Nothobranchius furzeri: one gene and its partner. The protein of the gene in region 2 purifies or fractionates together with the protein of the main gene of each other region. This does not show direct contact. Links are inferred from orthologs where the notes say so. Each region holds a gene or a part of one and is shown on either strand. Other genes may lie near its edges.

Region 1 (4,094 bases), on a different chromosome or scaffold from region 2:
TTTGGCCTGTCATCCACACGAAAACTGATCTTTTTAAAAAAACTCCGGCCAAAGTGAAGATGTGCGTTTTCTCCGTGTTGGGTGTCTGCGTGTGGACGGACAAAACCGGAGTTTTAAGGTCCGCAACGTCACTTTCTGCGACAAAGCAATGCTGACATCACGTGTGCGACCTGTGTTTACACTAGCCGACAGCATGGATGCCCTCAGAGCTGCGCTCGCTTTATCAATTGTCCAAGCGCTTTCTGCTTGTTTGTTTTTGCAAGAGGAATTACTGCTCCTTGCGGAAGACCACAGACGAAGGACGAGGTTAAGAACGGGGAAAGTACTGCCGCCTACAGGTCTGGCATGTCCTTAACAACGTATTTATCCAGGTACGTGTGGACAGTTTGTTTTTAAAACGAGGTGGTGTGGATGCAAGTTTTTGGAGGGGCGGATATTCGTTTTTAAAAAACCCCGGCTACGTGTGGACTAGGCCACAGTCTCATGACAGAATAAAAAAAGGGAAAGGCCCCACATGACCAGACACAGACAGGTTGTAACCATCTAATGACTTTTGAGGTTGTTTTTCTTTAAAACAAATCAGCGCGGCGGCGGGGCCCGAGGAGCCGGGGAAGAAGCACTGGCCGAGCGAAGGTGCAGTGAGGAGGAGAGCCGTCCTGACAAATAAACGTGTGTGTGTGTGTGTGTGTGTGTGCACGCGCTGTTTACTTTCATAATGCAGTAAGTAAAATAAGACAAACCTCACATGTCTCGAGTCACAATGAATTTGCGCGATACTTCAAAGCCTTGTTTACCGCTGCTACCAGAAACATTGAATGGAAAGAGAGGAGGCGGCGGCCATGTTGTAGCTGCGGAGCGTCGAGGCAGTAAAACTGACAAATAGGGCTGGGCGGATCGAGCTAAGATATCGATAGTATCGATCTAACGTTGGTATTGAGTATTTACTAGATACCTGCGTGATGGTATCGATTCCGTTTCTTCTAGCCTGGCAAGCATTGATTTACTCACCGCTACAGATGTCGGTCAACGAGGCAGTCCACCAAACTCCGTCAAAGAAGATGCAAAACACATCCTTTTCCTAAATAAACGTTAGTACTTCTATCTGATCTTGACTCAAACAAAAGCTAAAAAGTCATAATAGTCCAAACTTGACGCCAAAGCCATTTCAAACGAGCGGCTGACCGCCGACTAGTCAGTAGTGCTGTACGATACTGCAAAATTTGGTATCGATCCGATACCAAGTAAATACAGGGGCTAGTATTGCCGCCCAATACCAATACTTTTTACTACTAATCTAGTACCATCTAGTTTTGTGGGAATTATTAAGATAAATAGGATCAATAAAATTTGAGTTTTCAGACAACATCCTGCCTAAATAATACATTTATTTAGTCTGGCTTGCCAGGCTAGTGCTGGCGCGCTGTTTTACTTTTTTTTTTAATGTAACGGCGGGCTGCCCCGTTGACTGACATCCGTGGCATTCCAATCAGTGTTTTACTGGTTTGTTGGGCCAATCACAGTGCTCTTTTAGCGAGGTGGGAGGGATGTCCCTGCAAACAAACATGGCTGCCGCTCGAAACTGTCCAAACATAGGTATCAGCCAGGTAAACTACAAATAAAGATGGCTGCTGTTCTGTAGTGGTCCAATCATGGCGCTATATAGATTTCATGGACCAATCGCAACACTAAGTAGGCAGGATGTTATTGGAAAACAAAAAAAAAAAAACGTAGATCCCACCCCATTATTTAGATCTGTCTATGGGTCGTGGCTCGCCAGGCTAGTGGGATTCCTGTTCTCATACTCTTTAGATTTGAGCTCCGGCAGGTCCAGGTGCCAGTGTTCATCACTGATGATCCTCTTCTCGTCTTCGTCCAGCTGCTTCTTTGTCTCAGCATCCAGTCCCCTCTGCATAAACTGAAACACAAAGCACACATTTACTCAATCTGGACCCAACCAAAACCACCGTTAGCCAGGTCCACAACAATGCTGCCAAGATCATCAGCTTCCTGGAAGATCCAGAACTTCTAAAGTTGACTTCCATCAGAAATCTTCTCTCTTCCCACAACTCCTGGTTCTCAGGCAGCAGCAAGTTTGGTTCCTTCCTAGAGGTTCTAACAGTAAAACAAGAGGCACAGCTTTCCCTTCCCAGGCTCCTCTCTGGCGGCCACCAGGTCTCCCAGAACCAGTCGGTCCATCCTGGACTTGATTCTGTAGGACGTTGCGTGGTGCTGCTCAGGATGGAGGACGTGTTGGGAGTGAAGATTCTAATCATTGCACCAGAAGCTCTGGCTTTTTGTGAGCTGTGGTTCGGATTTTTTTGGACTTTGGTAGAATCTTCTCTCAGGTTCGGTCCTGGTTCAGAGTGGTCCAGATGAAGGAGGCACATCCCGCTCCTCCACGGGTTCACAGAGATCAGATACATCTCTGAAACACGCCTAAATCCGCTTCGTCTCGTTGCTTTACCCCGAATTCAAGTTCAGTTTCAGGGTGATAAACGCTGCTTGGAGTCAGCATCTGGGAGGAAACTAGCGTCTTCTTATCACACATCAAACGTTCATTTCTGTTTAGTCAATGACGTTCGGCGCAGAGCTAGCAGCTAACGCTTACCTTCATCCGCAGCAGGTTTTTTGACAGTTTGAATGAATCTTCCGCCATATTGTGCCGATTAATTTATACTAATTTAAAGTAAATCCGAACTCATTCAAACGAACTCGTTTAGATCTAACAATCAGCACTTAGCATTAGCCACTGGGCTAAGCGCTCACCACAGTCTGAAACAATCGAACATTGATGCGCATGCATGGTCGATGTTAAGGATGATGAATCAAACACGAGCAGCTGTTCGAATTGGATCCTGGTCATCTAACCTTTTCTAGAAAGATAAAAGGACATGACCGTGAAAACACTCGAAGATGAATTTGTGTAAATTATTTCAGTTTATATGTTTGTTTGTTTAAACCGAAACACATTAGCCAACAATAATTTAAAGACCAATGTGGCTAGCTTGAAGCCCCTCCCATTCACCATGGTAACACATGCTGGAGACAAGCCCCCAAAATTCAGCGCACAGATTTCACTCACAAACGCAGAAAGGTTCACAAATGAGAAGCTTTTCGTAAATGCACGTTCAGCAATTCGGATGATCTGTGAGTTTATATTACAAGTGTTCTTACAAATAATATTTGTGAACCACAGAGTGTGAACTTCAGAATTAGCGTGTGCATTTGTGGAAAATGTTGCGTGACTTATTTTTTCACATTATATTTATGAGTCAAAGAGTGTGAATTTCCGAATGAGCTTGTGCATTTGTGTTCCTCCGAATTATATTTGTGAAACACAAGAGTGTGGCTTTCCGAATGAACGTGTGCATTTGTGGAAAACGTTGTGTGACTTAATTCTTATGTCACTGCTTCCACTCCAGTCGGGGTTCTTTTTCCCCCCCCCTCTCTCTCTCTCCTCTTCCTGAGGAGGATCCACTCCCTCTTTCCTATTCACTCTCTCTCTCTTTCTTTACATTTTTAATCACAATTGTCTATTTTTTGCTCATTTTAATTTAATCATTTTCTAAATTCTTTTTTCTATTTTACATGTTTTGTTTTTGTGAAGCGCCCTGTGATTTTTATCTTGAGAGGCGCTATAGAAAAGATCTTTTTTTCTCTCTCTCTCTCTTAATTCATGCACTTAAATATTAATGTTCTGATTTTATTGAAAAACTTGTTCTGTAATAGTTCCTTTACTATTGTGATCAAAAACATTTAATCTCAACTCTGAGGCTGCTCTGTAAATAGTTTTCAAATAAACAATACACATAGCAACTTCTGATCAAACTTAAAGAGCAAGTAACGTCTAAATTAACTTTTTTTTGCTGATGAACTGTATAAATGAGTGTCTAATAGTGTTTTAAATGTGTGTATTCATTATTTTAGCATTTTGGTGCATTTTCTTAAAAAATTAAAAATTCTGCCTAAATACCACAGTATAGCTCCACCTTCAGCTTAAAACATAGAATTTGACTCATTTTGAATAAATTTTAGCCAATGGCTAAAGAGTAAGATACTACGTAATCCAGTAGAGTACTACGTAGCAGCTCTGT
Region 2 (4,117 bases):
TTTGTTTCATCCGACATCACGAGTTGCCAGTTCCTGCAGGGGAGGAGTGTGTATTGTGACAGTGTTTTTTTTTCTCAAAACCCAGCTTACTAACAGATTTGTTATAACAGCTTTGATAGAATAACAGAAGGTGAGTAATGCAAGAGAACTAAGTTATTTTCTACAGGGCTGCCAACTTGTGATGGTTTCCATGCACGAGGAGGTGTGTGAAAGGGGTCAGACACGTGTCTCACGCTCAATGGGAAGCTAAGTCACACCCATCTATTTCCGACCATGGGTCCCCAACAGGGCTGGACTGGGACAAAAAATCAGCCAGTTCGTTTTGAGCCGAGACCGGCCCACCAGCTAGTGAAGTTAAAAAGCAATGACGCCTATTTTTTACACCACCTCTCTAACCCTGGGCCTCGATATTCCATATCCATCATGTTTTACTTGTTTCCCTGCTCCAGCACAAAAACTGAGCTTATTTTGCTGCTTAACCCTTTGGTGCATAACGGTCACTACAGTGGACAGTTACTCAAAATTGTTATTTATTTATTTTTGCTATTAAGCACAGCTGTTGAAGACTTTATTGCATATGAGCCCTTCCATTTGGACTTCAGTAAGTCAAGCCACCATATTTCATGTTCAGAATGCACATTGTCCACTGAGATGGACATGTAATAAAGTATTTGTAAATTAACAAAATGGTACAAAAAATATTTGTTGAAATTTGTTTCATTCACACCTAAAGATGAATGAAAAAAATAGTTTAAAAAATCATGGTTGAAGATTTCATAATTCATGCATCAGAGGGTTAATGCAACAAAACATCAACAGACCAAGACAATCTTCAGATATCTAACTGCTCGTTTGAGGTTGAGTAAAGAAAACAGTAAAGCAGAAAATAATCAGAAAACCGAGTTGCCATGCATGCACTGCTCACACACACACACACACACACACACACACACACACACACACACACACACACACACACACACACACACACACACACACACACACACGCACGCACGCACGCACGCACACACACACACACACACACCAACATCAAAACACATGACTTGTTTAACAGTTTAATTTTGTATTTTAAAAGAATGATCCAAACCATTCTAACTAAAAAGTTCAGTTTGAAGACATAAGAGAATCCACAATTTTGCTCTGGATTGTTCGGTTAGGAAAGAGGAGTTTGTAAGGAATATTTATTCACTGTCAATTGTTTAAACACTACAATATTGTTTGTTTAGCAAATTAATATATCGAGTTTTATTTAATCTTTATTAATTGTGACCGGTTATCAATTTGAAAGTTTTATTGACCTTACAACACCAACTCATTTTTGAAAAAGACGAATTTGTTGGCCAGTTTTTCGTTCATTTCCGAACTCCAGTCCAGTTGGTGGCGGTAATGCACACTTGTCGTTGGTAATCACAGTTTCGTCGCGGCCACCGTAGTTCACGTGGGTAATCAAAACATCATGGCGGCTGGTTTCAAGTAAGTCATTTTTAACATGTATTTTTCTTTATATTCAGACTTTGATTTTCATCAAATATATATCATCGATATATTTAATGTTCAGTGTTATATCTAAATTTAGTTTGCTTGTCAAAAAATACAGAAACAACATTTCTGTGACGTCAGTTGGGCTAGTGACGGGATAGTACACTTTATTTGTTAGATTTATCGGTCTGCTGTTTATTGCAGGATCGCACGTGTTTGTTACTAATTTGTCTTATTTAATTTCTTTAAACTTTCAGGACGGCGGAGCCTCTGGAGTATCACAGGAGCTTTTTGGTTCGTCAAATACATACAAACTATACCCAGTAGAAACCCATAAATGTTATTATTATTGTTATTAGTGTCATTGTAATTGCAAATGCTTCATTTGCAGAAAGAAAATTGTAGACCTGATGGGCGGGAGTTGTCTGAATTTAGAAGTACAACCTTAAACATTGGTAAGAAAATAAATTAAATGTTTCCTCCCTGTAATAAAACATAATTTTAGATATGATGTAAATAAAATAATATGTACTTCTAATACAAAATGAGTCGGCTCATATTTTTTCAACTCCAACATTTTCCAGTGCCTAAAGGGCTGATCACTGCCAGCTGTAACAGTTTTTACTTATTTTCTGTTCAGGGTCTATTTCCACTGCAGACGGCTCCGCTCTGGTAAAGCTGGGAAACACCACGATCATCTGTGGCATCAAAGCGGTACTGGTGCACAATGACTCAAACCGCTACTGCTAAGATTTCTTTAGGTGTTAAAGTCATGTGTTCATATGCAGGAGCTGACTAACCCTACTGTGGATGCACCTGGTAAAGGTTACATAGGTAAGTTCTGAACACATTTTACAGCCTCCTTGTTTCCATCAGGTTTTCATTGCTTAATTCTTTATCTCGTATTTTCTGTTTGATTCTGTATTTTATTATGACATCATCATCTGTCTATATATGTTTTAAAAAAGTGCCCAATGTAGACCTGCCACCCCTGTGTTCGTCCCGCTTCCGACCAGGCCCACCAGGGGAACAGGCCCAGGCTGCCAGCCAGTTCATCGCTGATATCATTGAGAGGTGTGTTAAGCCTTCAAACACCTTTAGTTTCCAGCTGTAGTGTTTCTGCCACTGCTTTGACTTAACCTTCATGTGTCGTGCAGCTCTGAGGTGATCAAGAAAGAAGACTTGTGCATTGGCCGAGGAAAGGTGATTTTAGACTCATGTGTGGACTTTATTTGTTGTAATATATTCAATCATAATTCTGCTAAATCTTGTTGCAGCTCTGCTGGGTCCTCTACTGTGACATCATGTGTCTCGACTATGACGGGAACATCCTAGATGCTTGTGTTGTCGCCCTTCTGGCTGCCCTGAAAACCAGTAAGTAGGGTTGAGACTTTACTGAAACGGTGCATGTAATAAATAAAATAAATCTATCTTTTAGTAATCTTTCCCTGCAGCACAACTCCCAGAAGTCACCATCAACAAAGAGACGTCCGCCCCGGAGGTGAATTTTGAAAAGAAACACAAACTTAACATTCACCGACATCCAGTCAGCGTCTCCTTTTGCATCTTTGATGAGTACGTTTGTTTGATTTCAATTCAATTTTTATTTTAGGTACAAGTGCCATTTTGTTCTTCTTTAAGCCTTTTTGGTTTTCCTGTGCAGCTCCATACTGATCGTAGACCCCACCGCCGAGGAGGAGAGCCTGTCGACGGCACGCCTCACTGTGGTGATGGATGAGGAAGATCAGCTGTGCTCCTTACATAAACCAGGTCAGAGATGGCACATCTGTGATCTTTAGATTTGTGGTGCTTCTGCCATGAAATAAAGCTTCAGATTATTTTGAGTATTTTGAGAAAACGGGGATAAAAGGCTCTGCAAACTTTGCCTCCAGGTGGAACGCCACTGTCGGGAGAGAAGCTGCAGGAGTGCATCAAAAGAGCAACGGCACGAAAGGGAGAGATCCACAAACTTATTGAGAAAGTCATAAAAAGCATGAAGACAGCTCAATAAATACACTCAGACAACATTTTTTATCTAAAAGTTGTATTTTCCACTGTCAATATATATTCTTTTTTAATAACAATAAAACTGCTGACAAAGACTTAAAAAAATTATCTTTTCAGTGTCCAGAAATGTCTCACGCACACTTAGCTGATGTCTTAATTCATGTAAGAATATGCTCATGGCTCCTTGTTAAAAGGTAACACCTTTTGAAAATCTGCTGTACAAACGCACGCCGTCTTGCATGATGACTCTGAGTCCTCGCGTGAGCCCTGCGCCGGAATACTCCCCAAGATCAGATTTGCATTTTCACGTCGTGGACACGTGGACGGCTTGGTGTTGCTAATCTGTGCTTAAAGGGCAGCCTCATGCGAAATTCTCTTTAAAATGTCCTCTCACTCCACAGGGCCTCGGCAGAGAAAAGTCTTCCGAAAGTAGAAATATGTAACCGTGGAAGCTCGTTACCTACAAGACCCGTCTTCTTCTTGATCATCTGAAAAAAAATATCACCAAGGCTCTTAGAGCTTCGGGCTTCCTGCTGTAGAAACCAGTTCCCCCACAGTGGACAAAGGTTTGGTTTTCAGAAAACATCTGAGAACCAAATCATAAAAATTT

The links.
Region 1: the proteins of exosc8 (region 2) and mphosph6 purify together in Homo sapiens (affinity purification with mass spectrometry; 4 studies listed by BioGRID and IntAct, counting the BioPlex papers as one, with this or other methods). This does not show direct contact. The link is inferred for Nothobranchius furzeri from reciprocal best matches to the Homo sapiens genes EXOSC8 and MPHOSPH6.

Annotation. Positions count from the first base shown.
Region 1 is NC_091744.1:80,075,351-80,079,444, reverse strand, and holds the start of mphosph6 (M-phase phosphoprotein 6), read right to left. Parts: upstream 2,809-4,094; 5' UTR 2,657-2,808; coding exon 2,609-2,656; intron 1,916-2,608; coding exon 1,803-1,915; intron 1-1,802. UniProt on the Homo sapiens protein: RNA-binding protein that associates with the RNA exosome complex. Involved in the 3'-processing of the 7S pre-RNA to the mature 5.8S rRNA and play a role in recruiting the RNA exosome complex to pre-rRNA; this function may include C1D.
Region 2 is NC_091750.1:62,637,143-62,641,259, forward strand, and holds exosc8 (exosome complex component RRP43), read left to right. Parts: upstream 1-1,412; 5' UTR 1,413-1,477; coding exon 1,478-1,494; intron 1,495-1,757; coding exon 1,758-1,794; intron 1,795-1,891; coding exon 1,892-1,955; intron 1,956-2,140; coding exon 2,141-2,214; intron 2,215-2,288; coding exon 2,289-2,334; intron 2,335-2,468; coding exon 2,469-2,574; intron 2,575-2,657; coding exon 2,658-2,703; intron 2,704-2,777; coding exon 2,778-2,874; intron 2,875-2,954; coding exon 2,955-3,075; intron 3,076-3,163; coding exon 3,164-3,270; intron 3,271-3,392; coding exon 3,393-3,511; 3' UTR 3,512-3,612; downstream 3,613-4,117. UniProt on the Homo sapiens protein: Non-catalytic component of the RNA exosome complex which has 3'->5' exoribonuclease activity and participates in a multitude of cellular RNA processing and degradation events.